Linked DNA regions of Oryzias latipes. The main gene of each other region encodes a partner of the protein of the gene in region 2 in a complex. Links are inferred from orthologs where the notes say so. Each region holds a gene or a part of one and is shown on either strand. Other genes may lie near its edges.

What was found. Proteins that work in one complex are often made in the same cells at the same time.
Region 1: the proteins of plekhm1 (region 2) and map1lc3c are in contact, whole or in part, in a crystal structure (PDB 5DPW), measured with the Homo sapiens proteins. The link is inferred for Oryzias latipes from reciprocal best matches to the Homo sapiens genes PLEKHM1 and MAP1LC3C. Residues at the interface, in NP_055613.1 of Homo sapiens: Glu632, Asp633, Glu634, Trp635, Val636, Asn637, Val638, Gln639, Tyr640; in NP_001004343.1 of Homo sapiens: Phe13, Arg16, Lys17, Glu25, Ile29, Phe33, Lys36, Pro38, Asp54, Lys55, Thr56, Lys57, Phe58, Leu59, Val60, Pro61, Glu63, Leu64, Ile72, Arg76, Phe114.

The regions. Positions count from the first base shown.
Region 1 is NC_019859.2:738,195-741,772, reverse strand, and holds map1lc3c (microtubule-associated proteins 1A/1B light chain 3C), read left to right. Parts: upstream 1-1,530; 5' UTR 1,531-1,619; coding exon 1,620-1,680; intron 1,681-1,754; coding exon 1,755-1,810; intron 1,811-1,880; coding exon 1,881-1,987; intron 1,988-2,763; coding exon 2,764-2,926; 3' UTR 2,927-3,043; downstream 3,044-3,578.
Region 2 is NC_019877.2:16,171,672-16,175,236, forward strand, and holds part of plekhm1 (pleckstrin homology domain-containing family M member 1), read left to right. Parts: intron 1-1,442; coding exon 1,443-1,923; intron 1,924-3,565. UniProt on the Homo sapiens protein: Acts as a multivalent adapter protein that regulates Rab7-dependent and HOPS complex-dependent fusion events in the endolysosomal system and couples autophagic and the endocytic trafficking pathways.

The sequences.
Region 1 (3,578 bases), on a different chromosome or scaffold from region 2:
CCTCCGCTCCTGCACAGGTCAGTGACGTCAGCGCACAGGTTGACCTGCCCATGCCAGCGTCCAATTGGACACATTATCGGAACCGCGCGGGTCTCACCTGCAGCTTGGCGCGCTCCACCTCCCAGTGCGCGCGCTCCACCTCGAAGCGCGCCCACTCGTGCTGCAGGAAGTGCAGGATTCCTGGGACGCTGTACCGCGCGCGGGCCGCCTCTCCGCCGCTCACGGAGCCCAGATGCGGAGCCGAGCCCGAACCGCCGCCGCTCAGGAACACCCCGGGGCCCGCGTGCTCGTCCATCATGGCGGGACCACGGAGCCGCTGGTTCGGTCCGGTGGGTCAGCCGCGTCGCTCGAAAATCCTCCGCGGAGGAAAATCCATCCAGAACCGCGCGCGAGCTGTGGACCACGCAGTCCCGCAGCCTGTCAGACGGATGCTACGTCACAACCGCTTTGCACTGTCAAAATAAAATACCATCAATGAAATGAAAGGTTTCCAAACAATAACGCTCCCTAATGTTTTATTCGGTATTCTATGTCTCAAGTTTGTGTAAATAATTTATATTACTTATTTTTTGCTCTCAATAGCTTATAAATATAATATTTCAAAAGTTAAAAACAGTGTTTACTCGTATTCAGAACTGTATTTATTCTTGTATTGGTATGAATTTTATATTTTCAAAGACATCTGTTGGGGGGGGGGGGGTATTCTGACCCCTCCCCATAGACCAGTAGCAGAGTGGGGGTTTGAAGACTCAACAGGATGAAATGAACAAAATGAATAAATAAACTTGAGGAGGTATAAGGCTTCTATGTGGATGCAGTCTGTAAAATCTGTTTTTTAGACAAAATATTCCCAGAATGCAAAGACTAAACCTGTGAAGGTAAATAAAACTTTATAAACGTCACCAGCACCAGTTGACCCCCCCAACGCCATTCAGGTTCATTTGTACGCAAACCTCTGGAAGATATAGTCACAATGAGAAAGGATACTTTTATTTTGAAAGTACTAATAATAACATGTTTGGACTTTTCTTACCTGCGCCATGACGTCACTGACCCGCCAGCTGACTGTCTGCACTTTCCTGTCTTTGACTGATGGAAATCCAGATCATTCTGAGAGTTGAAACGAAGATCAACAACAATGAAAATTTCAAAGAACGGACTTCATTTAAACAGAACTGAACTCTGAGGATGAAGATGATGAAGAACAATTCTGTCTGTGATGTTTTTGTGAGAATATTTTGAATCATAAGTTTGGTTTAAAATTAAATCAGCAATTGTGTGTGGTTACATGTGTGTATTGTTGTATGCGTGTGTGTGTGTATGCGTGTGTGTGCGTGTGTGTGTGTGTGTGTGTAAATAAGGAGAGTAAAGCACGTGACCTTGTAGAGGTCATCCCAGCTTGGACCTGCGCGCACGTGACCTGGCTTTTCACTTTGATCACCTCACGTTCATAAAGGTCTCTCAAACAGTGAGGACCCCCCCACCTCCGGCTGATCAGAGACCCGTATTGACCACGCCCACCCCGTGGACACGCGGCAATCAGCTGATGTGTTCCAGCCGCCCGTATTTAAGCCCCACGCGGGCTCGTCCGCGCGCTGTCTCCGACCCGGCGCTCCATCATGCCTCCGCTGGAGAAGATCCCTCCGCAGAGCAAACCTTTCAAACAGAGGAAGAGCTTTGGTAAGGCCTCGCGCGTTCACGCACGCGCCACAGTTTGCCACTAACGTAACGCTCCGTTTGTGTCGTGCGCGCAGCCACGCGGAAACAAGAGGTGGCGGGAATTAAATCCAAATTTCCGAACAAGATCCCGGTAAGTAGGCGGCCGTCACGCGCAAAGGTGTTTGTTCGTTCCCACTCAATCAGCTGCTGCGCCCCCCCAGGTCATCATCGAGCGCTACGACAAGGAGAGGTTCCTGCCCCCCCTTGATAAGACTAAGTTTCTGGTGCCGCACGAGCTCACCATGACGCAGTTCGTCACCATCATCAGGTGAGTCTGTAGAGAGCGCGCCGTGCGTGCGCGCGTGCTCTAGGCTGTTTTAAAAGATCAATTATCTTTCTTCATAAATGGGTCAGCTTTGTTTGTTCCTGAAGGAGACACATCACGTGACACTGCAGGCACGCGCTCCTTAGAAACCTTTTAGAGGGGGTGGGGGTATCCAGAACCCAGATGAGCTGCTCAGTCTTCTTCATCCAAGTTCTGACTGCTGAGTCGGTTCTGAAAGTCTTCCGTTGTGTGGATCAGAACTTTGGGTTCAGTTCTTCTCTGAAAAGTTTTGGTGACAGATGTCCAGATCTTCCTCCTCTTCTTCTTCCTCCTCTTCCTCCTCCTCTTCTTCCTCCTGAGTTTCTGAAACCTGCAGACACTTCTGATCTGACTTCCAGCTGCCGTCTGTTTGCTCCTTCAGCCGCTGTAATCTGACACCAGATTATGGATTAGCAGATTAAAGTCCAAAGTCCGGTTCTGTCCTGCAGAGCCCTGAAAAACGAGGATCTGGGAAGTTCTGGGGTGGATCTGAAGAGCAGATTTCTGACCGTTTTGATCAAACTGCGGATCTGTTGGAGTTCCATCCAGAATTTGGGCTTCATGGAGGAAATCAGCTTTTCAGAATAAAATGTCTTCCTGTCCTCATTCAGCATCAGATGTGAGGAAATGACTGGTCAGCAGGTGGCGCTGTGGACCTGGAAGCTTTTTAATCTGTTTTCAGATGTCAACAGAATCCAGTATGCTGGAACAGCTGCACATTGACGCCCCTCCCTCTGCAGGAACCGGATGGCGCTGCTGCCCAGCCAGGCCTTCTACCTGCTCATCAACAGCAGCGGGCTGCCCAGCATGTCCCTCACCATGGCCCAGGTCTACAAGGACCACCAGGACGAGGACGGCTTCCTCTACATGACCTACGCCTCGCAGGAGATGTTCGGACGCTGACGCCGCCGCCGCACTTTTACGGACTTCCGCTGTGAATCTGCTGTAAATAGAAAATATTTTTATAAACTGACGTTTCTGTGGACTTTTAAAGATGAAGCAATAAATGTTGAGCAGTGAGGCGTCTGCAGGACTTTCCTTCACCTGAACAGACGGCGTCCGGTCTGCGCTGCGTTCAGGTCCGTCTGTAAATGTGAGGGTTGATGGAAAAGAACCGGCTGTGTTCCAGAATGTGGAGCTGAGGATGGAGCCGTGTTTGTTCAGATCATTTCCTGGATGAAGGAAGGTCTTTGATCGCTGCGACGGGTCGGGTCGGGTCGGAACTCTTCAGCCTCAAACGCGTTTCAGTTCCTGACAAAGTAATCGGAGTAAATGTCTAGCTCCAAGAAGAGGGGAACGGAGACCTCCAGCCCAGACAGAACACCCCCCCCCCCCCCCACACACACACCCGGGGGGGGGGGGGGGCTCTAGAACCTGGTCTGTGTTCTGAGTTTGACTGGATCAGCTGAGAGGTCCAGAACAGAAATGGTCATCAGAACCCCATCAGTGACTCCTCCTTAAACCCAAACCGGGTCACTGTGTCGGTAGAGTCCATCAGAACCAGCACCACTTCACTGGACTCTAACATCTGTCAGTGGATTTATCGCCGAGACGT
Region 2 (3,565 bases):
AACCCACTCTAATGTAAATCATATTTTGGGTGTTTTTAACATGTTCTTGTTGGATTTTTTCTGGTGATGAAAGAGATATATTAAGAAAATTAAGCTCTAAACAGCATTTATAATTATTTCTTTATTCAAATTGTTGTGAATCAGGAGCAGACAAAAATAATACTGTTGGAACAAGAGCTTATTTGTAATGTAAAAAATATGCTGGGCGGGCCACAAACTCCCTGCTCCGCTTCATTCTGATGCATCCACCTGCAGACAAATAGATTCATGTATGTCTTTGTTGTCCCTCTCCGAGCTGGCATCTGGCTCTAATCTGTATGACTGGATAGCTCCAATACCTTTCACAAAGTCTGTTGCACCGCTAATGTTATTTTGGGGGTGTAAGGGGCTGTAAGCTAGCGAGAGTGCGTTTAAACAAAGAGCTCTCAGCAACAGGAAGGGAAAAGGGAACGACCTTGCTCCGCCCCAACTCAGGTGAATTCCTAATTAACAACTAGTGCAGAAAGTATGTTCTAGAAAACAAGTTTTTTGATATTGATTAAAAACTGCAGAATCGTAACTGGGAACGCTTTTACAATTGATCAACTGATTATCGGAGCGGATCTTTCATGAGGTTATTCTTGGTGGTTTTTCCTATGGGCAATGTATTATTTTATTTTTTTTGTAACGCGTTCCCAGTGGTCTTTTAATTATGATTATCGTTTTTAGCCACAAAAAAGGTGTTGTTTTTTAGAATTTAGTTTATGCAGAGTGGCAGCAGCTCACTATAAATTCACCTCTAAGTTGAGGGCAGGACTGTTGGCGCGGAAGAACTCGTCAACCTTTTCCCTCCCCGTTGCAGAGCGGTGTGGCCCTCTATGTCACAAATAAGACAATTTTGAAATGGCATTTAATTGTCTGCTCCTGATTCACAACAACTTTATGAAAGTAACACAGAAATGCAATTTTGAGCTTAATTGTCTTTACATACAGTACAGAACAAAGGTTTGGACACACCTTCTCATTCAAAGAGTTTTCTTTATTTTCATGACTGTGAAAATTGTAGATTCACACTGAAGGCATCAAAACTGTGAATTAACACATGTGGTATGATGTACATAACAGAAAAGTGTGAAACAACTGAAAATATGTCATATTGTGGGTTCTGCATAGGAGCCACCTATTGATTTTTCAGTTATTTAACACTTTTTTTGTTAAAAAACTTAAATGTAAGTTCTGATTGGAATTGGTGACATCTAAAATGCAGTATCTGAATCTGTAACATGTTTGAGGAATGGTGGGAAATGTTGCCTTTAAGGATTTTTTTGTTTATGTGAAGTTTGCACTTATCCTTCCACTCTGTCATTTTCTTTCATTATTGGCTATCGTCATCATCAGAAATGGTTGTAGAACATAAACAGTTGGGTGAAGCTCTGTCCTTTTGTGTCTGTTTCTCTCTGCAGTTTGCTGTCTGAAAACAAAGAGAGCAGACACTGCAGTCAGGACTCCATGGGCGAAGACTCGTTTGTCTCCAGCTCAGGAGTCGATCCTTTCTCAGAAAATGCCACCTTCAGCGATAGCGAGACCCAAGGTCTTACTGAGCCATTCCATCATCCTTTGGATCAACCCCCAAGTTATAACTTAGAGCCAGAACCAGCATCCCTGGATTTGCCTTCCTATGAAGAGCAACCTGTTGAGCACCAAATCTGCAATGGTGCTAATTCCGAAGCACACTTGTGCCCACTTGTGCTTTCCACACTCCATGAGGGTGAGGTGTTTGTAGAGGAAGAGGACGTGAAAAGTGAAGGAGGGAGCAACGAGCTTGTCCAGGACACAACGCAAAGCGATACCTTAGAGGAGTGCACCACCAAAACTCAAGAGCATCAAAGTTCTCTGCGCTCCAGTAGCATGGTCAGCAGGAAATCATCCTCAGAGTCACTCCCAGTGAGTAAAATGCATTTGCAGATATATGAAATAGGTTCAGTTTTGGTTCCTAACAGTTTGTGATTGTTCCACATGGTTAACAGGCAGAATGGAGTTTACCTCTCAGTTGCTGTTTGGGTTTTTCCGTAGAGAAAATTTCAAAGCTATTACTTGACTCTTTTTCTGTAGTGTCGATTTACTGTATGCGCCATATTTTTCGAACTTTGAGTCGCTCTGGAGTGTAAGTCGCAGCAGCCAAAAATGTCTCACATTTTCAGAGAAAAGTGCAATGCTTCTGAACAACTCTGCCAAGCTTCGCATAATGTTGTGTCTACACCAAATACGATTTACGTTCCAAATTTGCGTCCACTGCCTCTTTCTTCCAATTCTCAATGCTTGTCCAAAAATGTTCATTAACGAGACTCTCCTGTACGTGTAGGAGAAGCTACCATAAAGATTTAGGCTCATCGCGACATGGAAGCATCGACTGTATATCTCATTTAAAATGCATGGAAGACATGGATGATGTCCAGAGATCGGGCTTATTTTAGGGGTGAGCCGATATCTGCAACTGTGGCCGATAGCCGAAATTAGCAGATGCCAATGTTTTAGTGTCGACAATAGGGCTGCACGATATGAGGAAAACTCACGGTTTGCGATATTAGTGGTCAATATTGCGATGACGATATAACTTGCTATACTGTAAATGAACATATGGCAAAACAACTAAATACATCTGTTCCGTTTCACTGCAACAGTTTAATTTAAATAACAGTCAACATAACTTAAATTATACTCCAAATGACCCTCGTCTAAATAGGAGCCTAGCATCTAACATAAAAGGGATCTATCTGATTGGTTAATGATATAAAGGACTCCATCCTATTGGTCAAACGCATAAAAGGATTTATTTGATTTGTTAAATACTTCAAGCTGCCTTAAGATTGGTTTAGCACATTTAAGGTAACCGTTCATTTCAATTTTTGCCGACTTTTGCAATATGCATTTTGCACAGCGTGGTATTGCGATAACGATAAATTACCGATTTATTGTGCAGGCCTAGTCCACAATAACCCAAAGTTAAGATTTCCTGTTTGTTTTTTTTATTAGAAATACACATCTGCTTGTTTACTGTACCTTTACATTGTACCTGACGTTTTTAACGTACAGACAGGGATGTCAGCAAGTATCACTGTAAAACTTTGAAAATATATCTGAAACTTTCAGACCATTTACTGACTATTAGACATAAAGGTAAACCATAAGCTTCCCAATGCCAGGGATCTATTAGGGACAAGTATCCATTTCAAAATTAAAATACTTTTTTCTTTCACAGCTCTATAAAACAGTCAGAACAATATCTATTGAGTCAAATTGGGTCCATAAAGATTTGAAACCTAAATAAAAAAACTTGAAAAATTTAAGCTGCAATATTGGTGTTAAGCTAAAAAATAGTGTCTGAAACTTTCTGGAATTCTAATATAGACTTAATTATTTTCAACTTTTAATGTTATGTTTTCTAAGTCAACATAAATCATTTTCGGAATAAAAACAACAAGGCTCGTTTAAAACACCGGATAATTAAGCACATGAATTTATGTTTTTTTTTCTCAACAACAGAGAGCTTCCTCCGACTGAAAAAATAAAAGAACGTCGCAACACT